Oryctolagus cuniculus: one gene and its partner. The protein of the gene in region 1 binds, or shares a complex with, the protein of each later gene. Links are inferred from orthologs where the notes say so. Each region holds a gene or a part of one and is shown on either strand. Other genes may lie near its edges. The genes, in order: SCTR and SCT.

Region 1 (11,931 bases):
AAAGAAATGTTACAAAAATGCTCAGATTCTTTGGTCAATTAAATACTCTACTTCTGAGAATCTGCACCTAAGACACCGGCCACCAGGGGGCAGCCTTGTGTCTAGAGTGCATATGGACCGAGGCTAGGTTAACTTGAGCAAGTTGAGTGGCGGATGGGGAACTGTCTGTGCAGAAGAGAGTGCAGAGTAAGTGATGTAGTTGTCGCTGTCACTTCGGGAGGAAGCTCCTGGAGATGAGGGTGGGGTGGGTAGGCACAGGGACTGGCAGTGGGAAGGGTGCAATGGACTGCTTATGTCCTCCCCTTGCCCCAAATCTACATGTTGAAGCCCGAACCTTCAGCAGGGCTGCACATGGAGGGAGGACCCATAAGGAGGGAATTTGGGCTATATGTGAGGGGAGGGCGCCGATTCCAGGGTCTTTGTAAGAATAAACACCAGAAAATGCAACCCAGCCCCCTCTCAGGAGAGGCCGGCTGGAAACAAAGCCACCTGCCAGCCAGGAAGGAGCCCCTCACCGACAAGACACTGAACCCCATTGGCCTTGATCTTGAACTTCTGACTTCCGGCCTCCAGAATTGTGAAAGTCAATTTCTACAGTGTCAGCTCCCAGGCTGGCATTTAGTGATGATGGCCTGGGACAAACAGGAAGGAAGCAGACAGAGGGGATAGTGTAGACCCAACGACCAGGGCAACATGTAGGTCAGAGGAAACTCAGCCAAGTGTCCTTGACCGTCAGCAAGTGGGAGGCAACCCCTCTGTGTTGAAAATGACAGGGGAGGGGGCGGTCAGGAATTTGAAGCACCTCAGAGAGCCTGGGTAAGGAAGCCAGGTGGGCCATGGCAGGGTGGGGTCTGGATAGGGCTCCTGGCAGCACGGTGCAGGCTGCGATCAGCCAGGAGCCCCCTTCACAGAGGCCCCTCGGCATCTGTCAGACATAGCATGCTGAGGATAGTCTCATTTCCCAAGTGCACACGACACGGAGCCTTCTGTTTGTCATGTAACCAAGCAGATAGGATCGGAGTGTTGTGCCTTTCACCCTGGGCTGCGCCAGGTCCCAGGAGCCCGAGGGCAGGTCAGCCGGGAGAACTCTCAGTGTACAGAGGGCATGAGGCGGGGAGTGAGGCTGGGGTAGCTGGAGGGACGGCTCCCCTGCCGCGTGGAGCTCTGATGCTAGATGTGAAATCTGAGCATTCCACAAGGGCTGCCGAGAAGCGAGGCTATCCTCTCCCTGGGCGCGGGAGGGAATCTGGGTTGTAACTGGGGAGAGGGTGGAGGCAGGGGAGCTCTGTGGGACCCCAAAAGGAGGTGCCAAGGCAAGACATGGACTCCTCCAAGCAACGCGGGACGCGGTATCTCCTGTTTGTGCCACTTGGCACCCTTCCTCCCCAAGTTCAACTCCAGCCCCTCAGTAAGTGTTGTGTAATGTGTTTTCCATTTACAAGGTGACCTGGTGAAATAGGCATTAATGTTAGTGTGAGGACTGGGAGAGACTTTTATGAAAGCCTTTTGTGCTTGAGAAACATAGAGCAGTGCTCTCCACTGGAGCAGCCGGAAGATGTGCCCGAGAAGAGCACTGGGACCCGAGTCCTGTGCCACCGCGTCTGGCTGAGCGGCCGCGAGCACACGGCTTCCTCCCCCGCCCCCTGAGCCTCAGCCTTCTCATCTGCACAATGGGGGAAGGGATCACCCGTGTGAAAACCAGACGAGATGGTGCTGGGGCGGACTTCGCAGAGTCTTGTGTGAAACAAGAGCTCGGTAAGGGAAGCCTTTATCATCCACCACCACCATCATCACTCACCCCAAACGTTTAGGGATGGTAAAAGCATAAAAAGAAATCCACAAATACTCCTTCAAAATGCATCCGGAGTAGCATTTCGCACACCCACAGCCCATATCAGAGCCCTGGGTTTCCGTTCCGGCTCCACTGCTGATTCTAGCTTCCCGCTAATGCTCAGCCTGGGAGGCAGTGGGTGATGGCTCAGGTAGTGGGGTCACAGGGGAGACCCGGGTGCAGTTCCAAGCTCCTGGTTTCAGCCTGGTGAGCCCCAGCTGTTGAGGGCATTTGGAGGACAAATGAACCAACAGGCAGGAGCTCCCTCCTTCCCTCTCTCGTGCCCTGCCTCCCTCCCTCTCTCTTTCTCTCTCACTCTCGCTCTCGCTCTGTGTGTGTGCATGAGTGTTGCTCTCTTTCTCTCTGCCTTTCAAATAAATAAATAATTTTTAAGGTAGCAAGTGATTTTCTCAGGCATACAAAAGAATCCCCAGGGACCTTCTTCTGAAGGGTCACCCATGACCTGTTCCCCAGCTCCCCTGGGATCCCTACTGGCCTTCCTCCAGGCTGCCCACTGCACCACCACAGGCCTGGTCAGCACCACAGATGGGGACAGGGCCACCATGCCCATAGGCTTCTATGCACCAGACCCCATAGTCAGAGGGTTGGTTTGTTTGTTGTTTGTTTAGAACCATCCACTGTGGTGGGGGTGGAGGGAGGAAGGGAAGATGGAAACGATCCAGGAACCCACCCCTCACAGAAGGCTTCCAGGCTTGCACCAGGTGCACCTGTTTCTGTCACTGGACTCCAGTCCAGTCACCACTCCCACAGCTGTGAATCCAACACAAGCCCCTACGACGAGCGCCATGACTGCACCTCCTCGGACACCCAGCAGTGGTTCTCAGCCTGGGCATAGTGGGTAAAGCCGCCGCCTGCAGGGCTGGCATCCCCTATGGGTGCCTGTTTGAGTCCCGGCTGCTCCACTTCTGATCCAGCTCTCTGCTATGGCCTGGGAAAGCAGTGGAAGATGGCCCAAGTCCTTGGGCCCCTGCACCCACATGGGAGACCCAAAGAGGCTCCTGGCTTCGGATTGGCACAGCTCTAGCCGTTGTGGCCAGTTGAGAGTGAAACAGCAGATGGAAGACCTCTCTCTCTGCCTCTCCTTCTCTATGTAACTCTGACTTTCAAATAAATAAATAAATCTTTAAAAAAGAAAGAAAGCAAGCCTGCTTGGAGAAAGAAACAGCCCATGTACCCCACTTCACTCATTGGAGTTCCAAGTTGGCCGTTTGCCAGGCGCCATGGACTAAGAAGCCTGGATTCAAGTGACCGTTTTTCCACTGATGGACACATGTATGTGCAATTTAGCAAGCAGAGGTTGCTTTCAGGATGTGGCCTTTCACCCCTTGTCATTCAACACACTCCCTGAGCTCCCCCTACCCCATGGCAGGCCCTAGGGATAAGGGATAAACAAGACAACGCTCAAGATCAAGGTGAGCGTATTGGAGGGTGTGTGGTGGGGACAGATGTGTTGGAGAATAATTAGAATAACGTTTGTAAATATTCTCCTGAGATGCACGGGGGCAGAGGCGGCATGAGGATGTGCGCTCAGGGCTCCTTACAGGAAGCCTAGGAAGCTGCCCCTTGGGGCGGGTGCCGTGGTGCAGTGGGTTAAGCCGCCGTCTGGAAGCCCGCATCCCACATCAAAGTGCCTGGTCCAGCTCTGTGCTAATGTGCACCCTGGGAGACAGCAGGTGATGGCACAAGGACTTGGGTCCCTGCCACCTACGTGGGAGACCTGGATGGAATTCCTGGCTCCCGGCTTCAGCCTGGCCCAGCCCCAGCTGTTTTAGCAGCCATGTGGGATTTAACCAGCAGATGGAAGATATTTACTGCCTCTCTCTCTCTCTTTCTCTGTCAGCTTTTATAATAAAAAATTAATACATAAAGGTTTTTAAAAGATCTATTTATTTAATTAAAAGGCAGAGTTACAGAGAAAGAAAGGGAGAGAGACACAGAGAGAGATCTTCCATCAGTGAGTTCACTCCCCCAGATGGCTGCAACAACTGGGGCTGTGTTCAGTGCCCACCTCTGGCTCCTGACCCCAGCTTCCTGCTAACATGGACCCTGGGAGGCAGCAGTGATAACTCATGTGATTAGGTTCCTGCCACTCACTAGAGAGACCCGGATTGAGTTCCTAGTTCTTGGCTTTGGCCATGGACCGGCCCAGTCATTGTGAATATTTAGGGAATGAACCAGCGGATAGGAGCTTTCTCTGTCTCTCTTTCTGCCTGCCTCTTATAAGGAAATAAATAAATAAAATTTATCCTAAACATATTTGAACCCCTTAAATTTTGAGATCAGATATTTTACCACCCAGGGTGAAACAGGAGGAAAGCAGAGCTTCAAAGGCTGGGAATACGCCAGTGAAAGTAGGTCAATTCCACACCTATTCATTGAAGCAATTTCTCTGTGAAGAAGTGTGAGACACAACCCTTGTCCTGCATAAGCCAAAGGACCACAACCTGCACACAGGGACTCCAAGGCATTAACACGTGAGTGTGTGGAAATGTCACGGAAACCCAAGAGGGCATAACGCACAGAGCCCCCGGTGGCTGGGAAATCACGGGATCTGGGTTCAAGTCCCAGCTGTGCTCCTAAACTTGCACATCTCAGGCAGGTAGCTTCCTTCTCCCCGTGAGTCTCCCTTTGCTCATTTGTAAAATGAGGCCACTGAACCAGAGCCTAAGGAAGCATCTTTGCAAGGCACACTGAAGATCTGCGTGGAGAAAAGTCTTCTCATTTCCCCCTCTGCTTATCCCTGAGAGAGCCTGAGGGTCGCCTGGAGACGTAGGCTCATCCTCAGTCCTACAGCCCAGGTGCCAGGTAAGACAACCTGAGGGTTACTGCAAGCATTTAGCAAGGAGTCGGGGTGGCTCTAAAAGAGGCAGCACTGTCTTTCTCCGCCCTAGCCGCTGAGTAACACATCTCCTGGCTGTATTTGGCTTTGAGCTGCTCCCAGGGCCCCAGGGGGGCAGCCCCCCCAAATTGCGGTGGATGCACTTGAGAGATGAGGCTTGGAGCTTGCAGGGGAGCTGGGAGTGAGCCCCAAATTGCATTTTTTCTAAGCTACTGCTGCTAGAATGTCAGGGAGCTGCTGGCTGGGCACCCCACAAGTGCCACGGCTGTCACCCACTCCCCTTAAGAATCTCACAGGAGTAGGTTCTGGAAGACAAAGAGCCAGGACCCCAGGAGCCAGAGATGGAAGGTTCAGAATTGAGTCCCCAAGCTCTTGTGGGACCCCAAGCCCTTGGGGGCCCCTTTGGAATGCCAGGGAGGAGGGGTGGTTCTAGAATCTGCCCCCCCCCCCCAGCCCTCGTCCTCAGCTCTTCCATCGTGCCCGCCTGCAAGTAGCCACTCTCTCACTAAGACAGACCTCAGAAGCCCCAGACTCTCAGGAGCTTCTGTGGGCAAGAATAGCAAACTCCCCCCACTCCGCCCCTTCTTTCCTCTCACGCCGTCGCGTCTGTGGGCCGTCTGTGGGGAGTGGCCGCTCCCAGGAGCTGCCAGACCCATCTAGGACCCGAGCACCCAGGACCCGGGAGAGGCAGCACTACAGCGGCCATCGCGAACCCTGGAGCTGTGGCCACAGCCCCCGGGAAATGTCAAGGCTTCAGGGCGGGCCCCGCGGACGGCTGTTTGTTCCCACCCTCCTTTCCTGGCACCGGGCATGTTTCTGTCTTTCCGTGCCAAGCTCTGGTTTGTCGGCTGGGAAAAGCAGCGATGAGGCTGCTAGGACATTTTGGAGGCACAGCGGCCAGCGGCGCTTGAGAGGCTTGAGAGATTTTCGTCTAGGACGCGTGGGCAGGAGGGAGCGGTGGGGCGGAGGGCGAGGGGGTCCCGGAGCCGCCTGCTGCAAGCCGTACAAGCCGCTGTTATTCCTGAAGAGCAGACCGTCTATTGTTGGGATGGGGCGGAGGCAAGGCTTGTCCCCCGCCACCTTCATCTCGCGTGGGACTCGGGGCCCCAAGCCGGCGGAGCGCGCCGTACTCACCGAGTGGGCGGCGCAGGCGAACCCCAGCAGCAACCACAGCCCCAGCGGCGGCCCCGGGCGGGGACACATGTTGCCCCGCGCGCCCCTCGACAGCCGCCGGCAGGTGCGCTCGACCAGTTTGTGAGCTCAGGGCCCCGGACAGGGTACCGGGTCCCGGGCAGCCGCAGAGCTTGGAGGAGCCATCCTGGGCGGACGCGGTGGCTGCACGCTCTGCGCTCTGGGGCCCATAGATAAGGACGTTGCGCTAGGGGCGCTCCTCCGTCCAGCGCAGACTGGCTGGGGGCAGACGGGGGGAGGAGGCAGAGGCAGGGCGCGGTGCTGGAGCTGGCGCCCGCAGGCTCTGCCCAGCCATCTACGCCGCAACCCGCCCTCTCCCCAACACCCCCACCACCCCGGAGTCATGCAACCCAGAAGCTCAAAGAGGGAGCCCAGGTCTAGACCTTCACGGCTAAGCCTGAGCCTCTGTGGCTGACTTGGGCGTGAGAGCCAGCTGTGACAGTTGTGCCATCACAGCTGTTAGTACCGCTGCGTCCCAGAGACTGTTGATGAGGTTGATACATCCCAGCAGAGGATAAGGGAGGACACTTTCAACGTCTAAGTCCAAAATCAAAGCTCGGTACACATCCCCCACAAAGTGTACATAACCACTGACTCCCTTCTAGGAATGTTAAAAAGATTATGTTATATTTGAAAAGCAGAGGGACAGTGAGGAGAGACTTTCCAACCACTGGTTCACTCCCTAAATGGCCCCAATGGCGAGAGCCAGGAGCCAGGAACTCCATCCGGTCCTCCCAGGTGAGTGGCAGGGGACCAAGCTCTTGGACCATCATCCACACCGCCTTTCAGGCACATTAGCAGGAAGCTGGATTGGGAGTGGCGTAGCGGGAACTCCTGCTGGTGCTTCGATATGGGTTGTCAGTGATTAACCGATGAAGTGCAATGTTAGCCCTCCTTCTGGGAATGTACTCCACACAAATACTCACCAAAGGGTCTGATGGAACATGTTGGGGGGAGCCTTGTGGAAACACCCTTACAGAAGCAGACAAGGTCAAGGGAACCCCGAGGCTTGCCCTTGATGGTTCCTCAGAGTGAGCAACCATTAGTCTGATCCTTTTTCTGCCTCTAAACACAGACACACACACACACACACACACACACACACCCCTGAGGTGAGCTCCCCATCGCTGATTCCCTTGGCATAAGGAACGGGCGTGAGTTCTGCACCCTCTTCTCTTCTTCCATGGACAAGCTCACCCAGCCTCCTACACAGAGCCAACGGGAGGATAGCCCTGGGCGAGGCTGGCCCTATGCTGGCCCAGTCCTACCAGTGACAGAGTAATGTTCTCTCTCAGCTGGGGTGTGCTGTTAGAAAGCCTTCTTGCCCATAAGCATAAATCACGTTCTCCAAAGCCAACTCGATCACTAACAGAAGTGGTACTCGGCCTTGTCTGTCTGAGTCTTATTTCTCAGTTGGTCCAAGATGCATTCAGGCTGGGAAGAAAAAAGAATGTCCTTCAAACCCCAACACCCTAAATGTGCATCAGTAAGCATGTGATACGGACTTGTAATGTGTATGTACAGACTTTTGCATTGCTTTCATGTTCTCTCTCTCTCCCTCTCTCAAATGTACTTATTATTTGAAAGGCAGAGTTACAGACAGAGAGAGAGAGAGAGAGAGAGAGGTCTTCCATCTGCTGGTTCACTCCCCAAATGGCTGTAATGGGCTGATCCAAAGCCAGAAGTCTGGAGCTTCTTCTGGGCCTCCCACACAGGTACAGGGGTCCAAGGATTTGGGCCATCTTCCACTGCTTTCCCAGGCTATAGCGGAGAGCCGGATCGGGAGTGGAGCAACCAGGACTCAAACCAGCACCCATATGGGATGCTGGCACTGCAGGCTTTATCCGCTAGGCTCCACACCAGCCTCACTTGCTTTTTTTTTGTTTGTTTAAGATTGATTTATTTGAGAAGCAGAGTTACAGAGAGAGAGGGAGGGAGAGACAGAGAAAAAGGTCTTCCATCCACTGGTTTACTCCTCAAATGGCTGCAATAGCCAGAGCTGTGCTGATCCGAAGCCAGGAGCTGGGAGCTTCTTCCGGGTCTCCCACATGGTAGTCTTCCCCAAGTCTTCTCCTGTGTGAGAGACCCAGAAGAAGCTCCTGGCTCCTGACTGCAGATCAGAGCCCCTCTGGCCATTGTGGCCAATTGGGGAGTGAACCAGCAGATAGAAGACCAACCTTTCTCTCTCTGCCTCCTCTCTCTGTGTAACTGTCTTTCAAATAAATAAATAAATAAATCTTTTTTAAAAAATAAAAGCTAAGCAAGGCTCAGGCCAATTGTGCAACCCATAAATGCCCCCATTGAAATGGATCCATTCCACTGAAATGTGAACGTGGAGGTGGACAGTGTCCAGGGTGCAGGGTTTGGGGGCCATTTAGCCAAGGCTCTTGGTTCCTAGCTGTAACTGCACACTTGTGCAGAAGATCTGACAAGTGCTCTTTCTCCATTGGCTATAAACAGCTACCGTGTATGAAGGATTGCATCCGCCTGGCCATATAAAATGGTGCGATTTTTATTTGTCTTTGCAGTCTTCCAGATCACCGAGGGTGCACGACGCGGTCTGGCTCGATGCTGACTCAGTAGTAGAGCTGTGCCTTTCTTTTCTTCCTTTTATGGAGAACACTCATGATGTAGCAGGAGATGCTACTTGTAATTATTTCTTCAACCACATTTTATATTTTGGGTTTTTTTAAAAATTATTTCTTTATTTTGCATTTCTCTAAAGGCAATAAACACTTGTTGGGAAACTAAGGCTCGTTGTTGACTATTTCCGGAGCACCTGCTCTGCTGCAGGTGCTGTGCTAAGATGACAGAGGCCTGGGGAAGTTACCTTCAGCAAGCTCAGGCCCATGCGGGAAGCTGTGCTGCTGAGAGTGCACCCGATTCCCAGAGGCCCAGGAAGGCGACTGGGGCTGGCATCCAAGATTTACAAGATGGCCACAGCCACGCACTTCTCAGACCTGCTGGCTGGCTGACATAGCAACCACAGTGTGTACCAAATGAAACTACAAATGGTGGGGCTGACGCTGTGGCGTAGTGGGTAAGGCCGCTGCCAGCAGTGCCGGCATCCCATATGGGCGTCAGTTCAAGTCCCGAGTGCTCCACTTCCAATCCAGCTTTCTGTTATGGCCTGGGAAAGCAGTAGAAGATGGCCCAAGTCCTTGGGCCCCTGTGCCCGTGTGGGAGACCCAGAAGAAGCTCCTGGCTCCTGGCTCCTGGCTCCTGGCCTTGAATTGGCACAGTTCCAGTCATTACAACCAACTGGGGAGTGAATCAGCAGATGGAAGACCTCTCTCTCTCTCTCTCTCTCCCTCTCTCTCTCTCTCTCTCTCTCCTTCTCTCTCTGTGAAACTCTGACTTTCAAATAAATAAATAAATCTTTAAAAACAAAAACATGAAGCTACAGATGGCGATACATTCTCTGAGAGCATATTGTACGGGACCAGACAGAGCAGGTGGAGTCATTAAATCTGACTCATGTTAGTCACCGTTCTGGTGGGTCAGATGTATCTGAGTGAGAGCACTTTTATAGGAGTCAATGTGGTAGGTTTCTGTTGGTTTTCGCCCATCTAACCTCCATTCTCTTTCCTTCTGATAGAAGAATCTCTCAGACCCTCACTCACAGTGTGGCTGGCAGTTGGGGAGACTTTTCACCAAGAGCAGCCCAGGAGGGAGCACAAGAGCTGGACCTGGGCAAAGAGATTCAGCCCATCTACCCTCCTCCTGCCTGCAGCTCACCACACAGCCATTAATCGGGGATGGGCATGTGACTGGATGTGCCACAGACAAAGCCTGTGTCGGCAGTAGGATCAAGCTAACTGCAAGGTACAGCCTGTGGCACAATATGAGGAGGTGCTGGTGAGAATGAAGCCAGTCTGGGTGGGGAAGATCCAAGAGCTGGAGAAACCAGTCCCGGAGAGCAGCATCTGGCTCCTAGACGCAGATGTTCCTGAAGCCCCTCCCTCACCCCCGCCCCTGCCAGCTCTGCCTCTCCGAATGTGGGGTGTGTGTGAGTCAGTTTCCATCACTTCTAACGGGAGATTCCCTGACTTATACTTAAGGAAGCCTTCCCCAGGCTTTTGAGCCAGAGGGACTGGTTGGGGGTGGGATGGGGGGAGTGGAGCAAAAAGAACAGTGGAGAAAGAGGGAGTAATTGGCTACCCCTGGGTATCTGGGTCTCAGGTCTTCACCAAGTGACTGTGTAAGTGCAAGGCTCTTGCTCTGCCCCTTTGAGGACTGAATAAACCAAACAAAGAGAGCTGTCCCCTCCTGAATGGCAGCTTTCCTAGGAGCCCAGCTAATGTATTATTGATGAGCCATAAAGAATGGGGCAAGCGTGATTTCCTATTCAGTCCTCAAGTACAAAGGCATAATGCTGACATTTTAATGAGGTTTTTATGGCCCAGGCTCACTGTTTACAATCTGGAAATGTAGGCTGGCTTTCTCAGGAAAGCCGTATTTCCTTTACTTTTTCTATTTTCCTCTTCCATCTGTCAGCGTCCTTTTGAATATTTATATGAAATATTGTAGTTAACACAGACCAAATAAAAGAAAGCAAATAAAGCCAGATCGGAAAGACAATGTTGCTAGCATGCCCAAGGTCTTCTCCTTGCTGGGTGGAGCAAAGAAAGTCAAGTGCACCCCCCCCCCAGACCCTTCCAGAGTCTGGGAAGGCAATGCACAACAGACAAACCCGGGGTTCAAACCCTGCCTGATTCTCCAATTAGCCATGTGAAACACGGGGAAAGTCATTTGAGCCCTCCAAGCCTCAGTCTCCTCCACATAATTGGAAAAAGCATACTCATCTTTCTGCATTGCCGTTTGGTTGAACATAATTCAATGAGGTGGCCTGGTGATGTAAGCCAGCACCCCACATCAGAGCGCCGGTTTGAATCCTGGCTGCTCCACTTTTGATCCAGCTCTCTACTAATGCACCTGGGAAGGCAGTGGATGACGGTCCAAGTACTTGGGCTCCTGCTCCCCACGTGGGAGACCTAGATGGAGTCTTTTGCTCCTCGTGTCAGCCTAAGCCACTCTCAGCCATTGCAGCCATTTGGCCAGCAAACCAGCTCCCTGCTACTGCACCTGGGAAGGCAGGAGAAGACGGCCCAAGTACTTGAGCCCCTGCCACCCATGTGGGAGACCAAGATGGAGTTCCTGGCTCTTGGCTTCAGCTTTGCCCAGACCTGATCTTTGAAACCATTTGGGGAGTGAATGAGCAGATGGAAGATTCTCTCTCTCTCTCTCCCTCTCCCTCTCCCTCTTCCTCTCCCTCGCCCTCTCCCTCTCCCTCCCTCCATGTCAATCTGCCCTTCAAATAAATAAATGATCTTTAAGAAAACAAAAAAGAAATAATTTGTTGTTAACTCACTAATGACTCAGTTCTACAAATACGTCGGAAATCCACGCATGTTCTAGGCAACACTCAAGGCTTGTGCAGTGGTGACCCAGCCTGCCTTCCCTGGACTAGTAGTCCAGGAAGGTGGTTGGCAAAGGGGTAAACCCAGCAGCTGTGGTCTGAATGTGCATTCACCCCTAGTCATATGGTAGAATCCTAACCCCGGCGGTGATGGTAGTAGGCAACAGAGCCCTTGGGATGAGAATGCGTCATGAGGTTGGGACCTTCATAGATATGATTAGTGCAGGAACCAAACACCTAGGCAGTGCCTTGGAGGCAGATGCCGGAAACCATCAGGTGCCAGGCCCCCAGCCTCCCTCCCTTAGCTCACAGTTTCCTTCTGCTGCTGTTTGTTTTTTCCTTTAAAGATTTATTTATTTATTTGAAAGTCAGATTTACACGAAGAGAGGAGAGGCAGATAGAGAGAGGTCTTCCATCTGCTGGTTCACTCCTCAATTGGCTGCAATGGCTGGAGCTGCGCCAATCTGAAGCCAGGAGCCAGGAGCTTCTTCCGGGTCTCCCACATGGGTGCAAGGGCCCAAGAACTTGGGCCATCTTCTACTGCTTTCTTAGGCCACAGCAGAGAGCTGGATTGGAAGTAGAGCAGCCGGGACTCGAACCGGTGTCCATATGGGATGCCAGCACTGCAGG
Region 2 (10,019 bases), on another chromosome or scaffold:
GGTTTTTTAAAAAAACGTATTTTATTTGAAAGGCAGAGTTACAGAGAGGGATGGTGCGTCTGCTGGGTCACTCCCCAGATGGCCGCTGCAGCGGGAGCTGGGCCAGGCTGAAGCCAGGAGCCAGGAGCTGCTTCCGGGTCTCCACGCGGGTGCAGGGGCCCAGCACTCGGCCGTCCTCCACTGCCTTCCCTGGGCAGGCGCATCAGCAGGAAGCTGGAGTGGAAGTGGGGCAGCCGCGACGCGGACCTGGGGAGCAACGACGAGAACAGCACCAGCCCCCTTGTGGGCGGGGTCTTCCCACCCTGGGACCCTCCTCCACCCCAACCCCAGGGCCAGCAAAGGTCCCCTCCCTGCAGGCCCTGGGGGCAGATGCTCTGCCTGGGGGGGCCGGCGGGCGAGGCCCTCAGCGGCACTGGCGCAGGGCCCTGCGGAAGACGCGGCGGAACTCGGCGTTGAAGACGGTGTAGATGAGCGGGTTGAGCGCGCTGTTGACGTAGCCCAGCCAGGTGACGGCGCTGACCAGCCGCGGGGGCACGGCGCAGGCCGGACACAGCGCGCGCGTGATGTGCACCACGAAGAAGGGCGTCCAGCACACGAGGAAGGCCCCTGCGGGCGCCCAGAGCCGTGCGCTGAGCGGCGCTCGCTGCCCAGCCCTCCCGCCCCTCCGGGACCGCCGCCCGCGTGCAGGAACGCACCGACGACCACCGGCAGGACCCGCATGGCCTTGCGCTCGCGGCCCGGGATCTTGGCGCGCCTCCTCTTGCGCGCCTGCGGCTCGGGCGGCGGCGGCGGCGGCAGCGGGGGCGGCGGCTCGGGGGCGGCGGCGGGGGCGGCATCCGGGGACGCGCAGTCCGGGGACGCGCAGGCCGGGCGCTCGGGGAGGCCGGGCGCGGGCGGGCCAGGGCCGCTGGGCCTGCGGGGCTCGCGGCCCTGCAGCTTGGCGCGCCGGGCCTCCTCCCAGCGCCGCAGGCCGCGGAACGTGGCCCAGTACAGCAGCAGCATGAGCGGGCAGGGCAGGAAGAAGGAGCACACGGACGAGTAGACCACGTAGTCGCTGTCCTCCAGGCGGCACACGGCGGGGTCGCGGCCGCTCACATCGTTCAGGCCGCACAGCACCGGCGCGGCCACCGCGGCCGACAGCAGCCACGTGGCGCCGATGAGCAGCAGCGGGCGTCGGCCCCCGCCCTGGCGGTTGTAGTGCAGCGGCACCGCCACGGCCACGAACCTGCGGGGCCCGGGAGCGCGTGAGCGCGTGCGGCGGGGGGCCCGGGACCGAGTAAGCGCATATGGCGGGGCGCGCACGCGGCCCACCTGTCCACGCTGATGGCGCACAGGTTGAAGATGGAGGCGGTGCACAGCATGACGTCCATGGCCATAAGCGCGTCGCACAGGCGGGGGCTCAGCAGCCACACGCCGCCCTGCACCTGGGCACAGCGGTCACACGTTGTGACCCGGGCACGGGGCCGAGGCACGGCACCGGTCTCAGGGTGGGTCTGGGCTCCGGTCGGCAGGGACCCCGCCGGCCCCGGAGCCTGCCCCGGGGAGAGCCGAGCGTCCCCATCGCAGCCGTCCTGGGATGAACCCTGGTAAAAAGTGTGAAGACGGCAGGAGGGCGGCCGCCGGGGCCGGGGTGGGGGCGTCGGTCCCCAGGGGCTGGGAGCGGACGGCGCCCCCTGTAAATCCCGCTGCCCGGAGAGGCTGAGCGGCTTAGGCGGCGTCACGGTGACGTCCGTGGGGCCGGGAGCGGCGGAGGTCGCGCTGTCAGGCGCTGCACAATGGCCCCTCCCCCGCAGCCCAGGACAACGCGTCCCCAACCCTAAGCCGCTTTTCTCCGGCCACACTCAGAGCAGAAGCGTTGACACCAACGTGGACCCCTCCCGGGCCAGCACTGGCCTGGGGCGGGGACCCTCGCTCGAGCTCCGCGGTCCGGCCCGGGTCTCCCCTCCGTCCACCCGCTCCTGACCCGTGGGTGCCTAGGCTGGAGGCCTCCCTGCGTGCACGGTGCGCCCGCGTGACCTGGCGCGGGCCTGATGGGAGTGTGTCCGTGCCCGGGGGACCCTGGGGCATTCCCCCCCGCCCGGCCCTGGGACCTCTTGGGTCGCGGACCCCGAGACGGGAGAGAGGGGAGCGCTGGGCGGGGAGCGCAGACGGCAGGGTCCCGGGCGCCCGCGGGGGCGCGGGCTCACCTCGGAGTAGACGAAGAGCGGCAGCACCAGCAGGGCGAGCAGCAGGTCGGCGGCCGCCAGGCTCACGATGAAGTAGTTGGTGGGCGTCTGCAGGGCGCGCTCGGCCGCCACGCTCGCGCACACCAGCGAGTTCCCCGCCAGCACCGCGCCGATGAGCAGCACGCCGCCCGCCAGCGCCGCCGCGCCCCCGGCCCCTAGCCCCGCAGCCGCCCCCGGCGCGCGCCCGGCCGCCAGCCCGCCCGCGTCCGCGGCGCTGCGGTTCCCCATGGCGCGCTGGCCCCGCGCGCCCCGGCGGGCGCCAGCACCGCGGTCAGCGCCCCGCGCGGCCTCCAGGAGTCCCGCCCCGGGCTCGCCCCGCCCGGCCCTAGTCCCGCCCCCGCCCGGCCCAGCCCAGCCCCGGCTCGGGGCCCCTGCGGCTTGGGGCCCGCGCTCCGTGCGCCGCCGCACAGAGGGACGGGGATTCGGCGGCAGCGCCCGGGGAAACCGGGCACCGGCTCGGCCTCCGTCCGCATGTCCGGGAGGCCCGCAGGCCCTTCCCGCACGCTGCCCTCCAGACACCCGCGCAACGCAGAACGACTCCGCGGACGCTGCCCACACCTGGTCCGCTTCCCGCCCCGGAGCGCCCCGCGGCTCGCCTGGCCGACCTCCTCGGTCTCCCCCTGTCGGGGCCGCCGCCTCTGGCCCGGGCTGGTGCTGCGTCGCCCAGGTCGCCTCGCCAGCCGCACCGGACCCCCGCCCGTCCCGAGGAGCCGTGAAGGAAACGCGGGAGCGCTCCCGCCCGGGGAGGGTCCCGGACCCCTGAGAAGACAGCAGATGGCACGCGGATGAGGATCCTCAGCAGGGACTCAACCCGGGTGCGGCTGACATGGGAGCCGTTCTCTGCACAGGGCGGTCCCTGTTCTCACACCGGGTGCACGACCGGGCGCGCGTTACAGAGAACCAGGGGCAGACATAGACCCTGGACGGCGCTCGGAGGGCCGGAGCCACGCGGGGTCTGCGGGGCCGGGACCGCAGGCGCTGGCCGCGAGCCCCCACTCCCACCCCGTGCAGCTCCGCAGGCGGGAGCCCTGTCTTCCCTGTGGTCCGGTGCAGGAGCGGAGCTGGTGCTGTACAAAGGGAGGGGCCGGGCCTGCTCAGGTCTGTGTGGAGCCCCCTCCTCCACCCACCCAGAGTCCACCACTGCTGTTTTATTATTATTATTTTCAAGATTTACTTTCTTATTTGAAATTTGTAGTTCCAAAGAGAGAGAGAGAGAGAATGTTCCGTCCACTGTTCACTCCACAAACGTCCGCAATGGCCGGGGCTGAGCCAGGAGCCTCCTCCGGGTCTCCCACGTGGGTGCAGGGGCCCAAGCAGCTGGGCCGTCTTCCACTGCTTCCCAGGTGCATTAGCAGGGAGCTGGAAGGGAAGAGGAGCAGCCGGGACTCCAGTTGGTGGCCGCGTGGGACGCCGGCCGCTGTGTCTCTCAGCGCACTTGGAGCTCCTTGGCTGGTGCCAGCACGCACACTCGTGGATTCTGCCGGACCTGCAGCCGAAGCAGCGCAAGTTTCCTGACGTCACTGTGGGCGGGCGTTGGGCTTCGTGGTTACCATGCCGGTCGGGACACCCACAGCCCGTGTGAGACTGCCTGGGTTCCTGAGCCCAGCTTCCTGCTAAGGTGCACCCTGGGAGGCAGCAGTGACCACTGGAGTGACTGGGTCCCAGCCCAGTCCTGGCTGCTGGGGGCGGAGGTGGATCGGAGGATGGGAGCCCTGCCTGTCCATCAGTCAATCAATTTTAAAAGGGAGTGGACCATCCTGGAAGAAGGGTGCCCAGAAGTTAGTCTTGGAGGTTGGAGGCGTGGCTCAGAGCTGTCCCAGGCTGGGAAGGGTGTGGCCTCTGGGAGGGGCAGCAGGTGCAGGGGGCCTGACCCTGCCAATGGTTGTACAGCTGCTGCGGGGCCACTTTTGCAGAGGTCGCTGGGATGCCCGGTCACCGGAGTGGGCAGTTGGCACAGCCATTTGGAAGCCGTGACCTGGACCTGAGCGCCTGGGCGGGAGTTCCAGCTCCACTCCTTTTTTTTTTTTTTTTTTTTTTTGTTAACTTTAAGAAAATTTTTTCAGCCTTTAACACTCAGTATTGGGTTAGCAGTTGTTAAGCCATAGCACGTGCATTATTTGTTCAAATAACAATTTAAATTTACATTATAGGGGCCGGCGCCGTGGCTCACTTGGTTAATCCTCTGCCTGCGGCGCCGGCATCCCATGTGGGCACTGGGTTCTAGTCCCAGTTGCTCCTCTTCCAGGCCAGCTCTCTGCTGTTGTCCGGGAAGGCAGTGGAGGATGGCCCAAGTGCTTGGGCCCTGCACCCATATGGAAGAGCAGGAGAAACACCTGGCTCCCGGCTTTGGATCGGTGCAGTGCCGGCCGTGGCAGCCATTTGGGGGGTGAACCAATGGAAGGAAGAACTTTCTCTCTCTCTCTCACTGTCTAACTTGCCTGTCAAAATAAATAAATAAAAATCTTTAAAAAAATTTTACATTATAGTCAAGGGCTTATTGGTTTTGACTCCACTCAGCTCTCTCGCGCGCTCTCTCTCTCTCTCTTTTTTTTTTTTTTTTTTTTTTTTTTTTTTGGACAGGCAGAGTTAGACAGTGAGAGAGAGAGAGACAGAAAGGTCTTCCCTCCGTTGGTTCACTCCCCTAATGGCTGCCACGGCCGGCGCTGTGCCGATCCGAAGCCAGGAACCAGGTGCTTCTCCTGGTCTCCCATGGGGTGCAGGGCCCAAGCACTTGGGCCATCCTCCACTGCACTCCCGGGCCACAGCAGAGAGCTGGCCTGGAAGAGGGGCAACCGGGACAGAATCCAGCACCCCAACCGGGACTAGAACCCGGGGTGCCTGCACCACAGGCAGAGGATTAGCCAAGTGGAGGTGTCGACCCTCCACTCAGCTCTTTTTTAATAAATATTTTCTTTTTATTTAAATATTTGTTTGTTTATTTGAAAGACAGAGTTGTAGAGAAAGAGAGTCTTCCACCTGCTGGTTCACTCCCCAGATGGGGAAACAGGGCTGGGCTGGCCCAGGCTGAGGCCAGGAGGTTCCTCCAGGTCTCCACCTGAGCCGGCCCCCACTGCTTTCCCAGGACACAGCAGAGAGCTGGATAGGAAGTGGGGCAGCCGGGACTCGAACCGGCGCCCACATGGGATGCCGGCCCTGCACAGGGAGGCTTTACCGGCTGTGCCACAGCGCCGGCCCAAAACAACACATCTGAGTGATCCGCGCCAAATAAGTCCCCAAGAGCGAGGACAGGGCAGCGACCCGGCGCCAGGCGCGGTGACGTCGGCGCAGCGGCGCGGGGCGCGGTGAGCACCTGGGGGGGGGGGAGTCCCTCCCCGCCGAGGGGGAGCCGGCCCGGACACCTGCCACGCGGATGGCACCGAGGCCCTGCCCCCTTGTCCTGGACGCTGACCCGGAGGCAGGTCCGCACGGCCGCATATGCAGTGAATTCGGCAAAATCTAAAAAAGTGTCAAATCTCCAATTTAAAAATACTTCTGTGGGCACAGAGGAAAATAAACCACAGTGTACCCCAGAGAAGTGTGTGCTTGTTGTTAATAAGTATCTTAAATTAAAAAAAGGTTGACGTTTCAAATTGTATCACGCATTTCTTTTGTTTATTTGACAGGCGGGGAGACACAGAGGAGGGAGAGGGGAGAGAGAGCGAACCTCCATCTCCCGGTTCACTGCCCGAATACCCGCAAAACCAGGGCTGGCCAGGCCGAAGCCAGGGCTCCATCCGGGTGTCCCCCGTGCGCGGCAGGGTCCAAGCACCTGAGCCGGGGAAGGCTCGCCCTCCCGGACAAGGGGCGCCGCCGTGGCGCAGGGGGCGGGCGCCGGCGCGTGCGACAGCTGGGGGGGCGGCCCCGGCCTGCGGAGACCGGTGGGCGCGGCCGGGCCGCGTGGAGCCGGGGCGGCGCTGGGCGCCCCCGGTCCGGGCGCCGCTATAAAGCGCCGGGGCTGCGGGCGCGCCGGGAATTAGGCCTGCCCGCGCCCACCATGGCCCCCCGGCCCCTGCTGCTGCTGCTGCTGCTCCTGCTGCCGCTCGCGGGCCCCGCCGCGCCCGCGCCCGCGCCCGCGCCCGCGCCCGCGCCCGCGCTGGGCCAGCTCCCCAGGCTGCGCGGCGCCCCTACCCCCGGCCGCGCGCGCCGTCCCCCGCCCCGGGCCCCGCGCCACTCGGACGGGACCCTGACTAGCGAGCTCAGCCGCTTGCGGGACCGCGCGCGCCTACAGCGCCTGCTGCAGGGCCTCCTGGGCAAGCGCAGGTGAGCGTGGGCAGGTGAGGGCGCGACCGGCGCGGGGGAGACCCGGCCTGGGACGGCCGGCCACCTGCGCTCTGACTGGTTGTGTGTGTCTGTGCAGCCAGCAGGACTCCAAGCCCGGCCCAGCCTCCTGGTCCAGGCCCTGCCCGAAGTGGTCCCACTGCCCACCTGCAGGCCTGGTGAGCGCCCTGCTCCTGCCAGCTCCTGTCCCCTGGGACCCTGTGTGTGGGGGTGGGGTTACGGGGAGTCTCCAGCTCCCAGGCCGCAGCCCCCAAGGTGCCTGTCTCCGCAGGAGGCTCCTCGGGCCACCCCTGGGCCCCGCCTGGTCAACCCTGCTGCCTCCTGGGCCCGGGGCTGGGGTCTTGGTTTTGGAGCTGGCCAGCACCGAGACTGAAGCAGCGCCTTGGATGCCCTGATGTTGACCACGGAGAAGGAGGGGGTCCTGCAGGGGGCAGGCGGGGGGGGGTTGTCCTCGCACTAATAAAGGAGGAACTGGGACCCCTGATCCGTGGCTGCCGTGTGGGAGCAGGGCCCCAGAGCTCGGACCACGCCCAGCTGCCCTTTATCCCTGGGAGCCACTGGGCCACCTGCTGTCCATCCTCTGAACTCCCCAGGGTGTGCCCCTCCCCGGGCCTTGCAGTAGGGATGTGGGGGAGAAGAGGGGTGGGGGGAGACGGGGTGGTGGCCCAGGATTCCGGGAGCAGCACCCCGTGACTGCCGGGCTGGCCATGGCGTCCATGCTGGGCGGGGTCCCACCGCAGGCCAGGGATGGACCCCGTCCCTGAGCTCCTCCCTCCTTCCTGGCCTCTCCCTGGCCGCTGGAGGTGTGGGGGTCCCAGGAAGAGATCAGGACCCTCAGAGCCCTGCAGGGGTGCCTGGGACACAGTCGGTTCCTGTGGGATTTAGACGGCGAGGGAGGGGAGGTGGGCCTGGAAGGGAACCCTGGACCCCCGCCTTGCCGTGGGCCTTGCAGCCCCCATCACGGTGCCCCAGGCCGTAGCCCCAGCAGCTCACACCTCGTGCTTTGGCGTCTGTGGGTTGAGCCCCAGGTGACCCTGGGGTGGAGTGGGGGGGCAAGTGACCACCTGGCGTCCCCCTCCTGGCTGCGGCCAGCCCGTGCCCAGCCGGCCGGCGGGATCCCCCCTGGCAGAGGCCAGCCGTGAAGCCATAAAGCAGGGCGGTGCCTGCCAGGGGCAAAGGTCGTGCGAGGCAGGAACTGCAGCAGTCCAGGACGGCAGGGGGACGGACAGACGCCAGACGCCAGCCGGCCGGATGACAGCCACCAGGACGGGGACCTGGCCCCTGCGGTGGCCTCCCCTGCTGCTGCTGCTCCTGGGGCTGCCGGGCCAGCCCTGGGGGGCTGAGGCGCAGACACAGGGCAGGTGCCGGGCAGGGGCGGGGGCGGGGGCGGGGTGGGGGCGGGGCTGGGTGCTGACCCGTGCTGTCCGCTGCAGTCTGCTCCATCAACCAGACCCTCTTCGAGGTGAAGGAGAACTCGGACGTGGCGAAGCCCCTGGTTGACATCTACGTCCCCGATGGCCTGCAGGTGGCCCTCGGCCCCTCGACCACCGCCGCCTCATTCCGGATCCAGGGGACTCAGCTGTTTCTCAGCGCGAGTCCAGACTACGAGGTGGGAGCGGCCCTCCCCCCCCATCCCCTCCCGGGCACAGTTCTGCCAGGCAGTGGCTGATCTGGCGTCGGCCCCGGGCTTGGGGGCTGTGGCCGGCAGCCATCCTCCTGCCTGGGCGGCCGGCCTGTGCAGCGGGGACCGTGTGCTGGGCACTGGGCAGGCGCCTCCCCACGTCCCCCTGCCTCCGCAGGCCGTGACCTTCCTGGAGGCCGACCTGGAGTGCAGGAGAGGGACCACGGTGGTGAGTCCGCCCCTCCCAGCCCCTCCCACGCTAGAGTGCAGGGATGAGCTCACCCAGGGCACGCTTCCCCGGCCACACCCGAGACCCGCGGCCCGGCGCCCCGGCACCCATACCCTGGCCTCAGCCACCAATATGTCTGGAACTTCCGACTGGCCTGCTTGCTCCCTTTACCCCGGCCCACCTCAGCCCCCTCCTCGGTGGCGGCTGGGATGCCGGCCACACCCAGGGCCGGGACCCCACAGGGGTTCACAGCGCCCTGGCCCCAAGAGTGAGGGAAGGGGGGAGCGGGCTGGGCACCCCGGGGACCCTCAGGGAGACGCCGGCCACGCCCTGCAGGTGACGAGGCTGCGAGTGTTCGTGACCGTGCTGGACGTCAACGACAACCTCCCCACGTTCCCCTTCGACACCCTGCAGAAGGGTGTGGAGGAGGTTAGCCCGGTGGCGCCTCGGGGCCGGCCCTGGGGGCTGGGGGCTGGGCCAGGGGCTTGCCCCTGGGGTCTCCAGTGTGGCCCACCCCAGCCCACCCCTGTCCATGCCCAGGATACGAAAGTGAACTCCACAGTCATCCCCGAGACAGAACTGGAAGCCAAGGACCTCGACGAGAGCGACACCTTGTTCTACACACTCCAGGAAGTGACCCCGGTCCGTGCTGCCCCGGCCCCCGGCAGACACCAGCCTGTGCCCACCCCCCAGCCTCTCAGGTCACGTCCCCCTCTCTTCAGGGTGCTGGGCACTTCTTCTCCCTGGCGGGCGCAAACCACCCTGCCCTAAGGCTGGACCGGACCCTGGACTTCGACAGGTGGTCAGAAATGACCTTCCGGCTGCTGGTGCGGGTGAGCAGGCCCCACCAGCCCCGGGTGCTGGACACTGGACACTGGGGCCCCAGTGAGGCTGCTGCCCGCCTGACCAGTGGCTACTGCAGGACACCCAGCAGGAGAACGAGCTGCCCAGCCACACGGCCACGGCCACCCTGATCCTGAAGGTGCTGCCCGCTGACCTGCGGCCACCCTGGTTCCTGCCCTGCAGCTACTCAGATGGCCACGTCTGCATCCAGGCCCAGTACCAGGGGGCAGTCCCCACGGGGCACACGCTGGTAACGGGGTGCTGCCGCCGGCCCGGGCGGGGTCAGGGCGGGCTTGGGTCCTCCCAGCTTTGGTGACATCCAGCCGTGGGCACTGGGCCCTGGGCCCTGTTGGGCACTGCCGAGCAACTCCCTCCCCAGCCACCAGGGGGCAGTGGGCCCTGGCTGGGCAGTGCACGGGAGGCAGGAGTCCAACTTCCCTGTGAACATTCCTGCTGACCCAGCATTCAGATGTCCCTGAGACTCGGGCCTGGCAGGGACATGTGGCCATTGGCCAACTGGGCCCCGCCGCGGCCCCGGCTGGCCACCACACCCGTCCCACAGTGTCCCCTCCCCTGGCCGTCCCCACAGCCAGGTCCCCTCACCCTACGCCCTGGACCCATCTACGCTGAGGACGGAGACTCGGCCATTGGCCAGCCCATCATCTACAGCCTGCTGGGGGGTGAGTGAGGCCCTGTCCCCAGCCCCATCCCCACCTGGGCCCAGCCAGGATGTGAGGCTGACCACCTGCTCACCCTCCCAGGAAACCAGGGCGGCGTGTTCGCCATCGACGCCAACTCGGGCCACCTCACCATGGCCAGCAGC

Evidence for each region.
Region 2: the proteins of SCTR (region 1) and SCT are in contact, whole or in part, in a cryo-EM structure (PDB 6WZG), measured with the Homo sapiens proteins. The link is inferred for Oryctolagus cuniculus from reciprocal best matches to the Homo sapiens genes SCTR and SCT. Residues at the interface, in NP_002971.2 of Homo sapiens: Arg30, Leu31, Cys32, Leu35, Asp71, Asn72, Pro117, Val125, Val127, Asn128, Asp129, Asn132, Arg135, His136, Leu139, Leu140, Leu142, Lys143, Tyr146, Tyr150, Arg188, Asn192, Lys195, Leu199, Phe200, Ser202, Asp203, Val205, Met219, Phe222; in NP_068739.1 of Homo sapiens: His28, Ser29, Asp30, Gly31, Thr32, Phe33, Thr34, Ser35, Glu36, Leu37, Ser38, Arg39, Leu40, Arg41, Glu42, Arg45, Leu46, Gln47, Arg48, Leu49, Leu50, Leu53, Val54.

Annotation. Positions count from the first base shown.
Region 1 is NC_091434.1:117,359,109-117,371,039, forward strand, and holds the start of SCTR (secretin receptor), read right to left. Parts: upstream 6,087-11,931; 5' UTR 5,895-6,086; coding exon 5,826-5,894; intron 1-5,825.
Region 2 is NC_091432.1:251,251-261,269, reverse strand, and holds SCT (secretin), read left to right. Parts: upstream 1-6,189; 5' UTR 6,190-6,219; coding exon 6,220-6,485; intron 6,486-6,582; coding exon 6,583-6,661; intron 6,662-6,774; coding exon 6,775-6,876; 3' UTR 6,877-6,914; downstream 6,915-10,019. Other genes in the region: DRD4 (D(4) dopamine receptor), read right to left, coding at 404-606, 696-1,225, 1,312-1,424, 2,187-2,453; CDHR5 (cadherin-related family member 5), read left to right, coding at 7,755-7,860, 7,937-8,112, 8,303-8,353, 8,690-8,782, 8,894-8,995, 9,076-9,186, 9,276-9,446, 9,786-9,876 and 1 more. UniProt on the Homo sapiens protein: Hormone involved in different processes, such as regulation of the pH of the duodenal content, food intake and water homeostasis.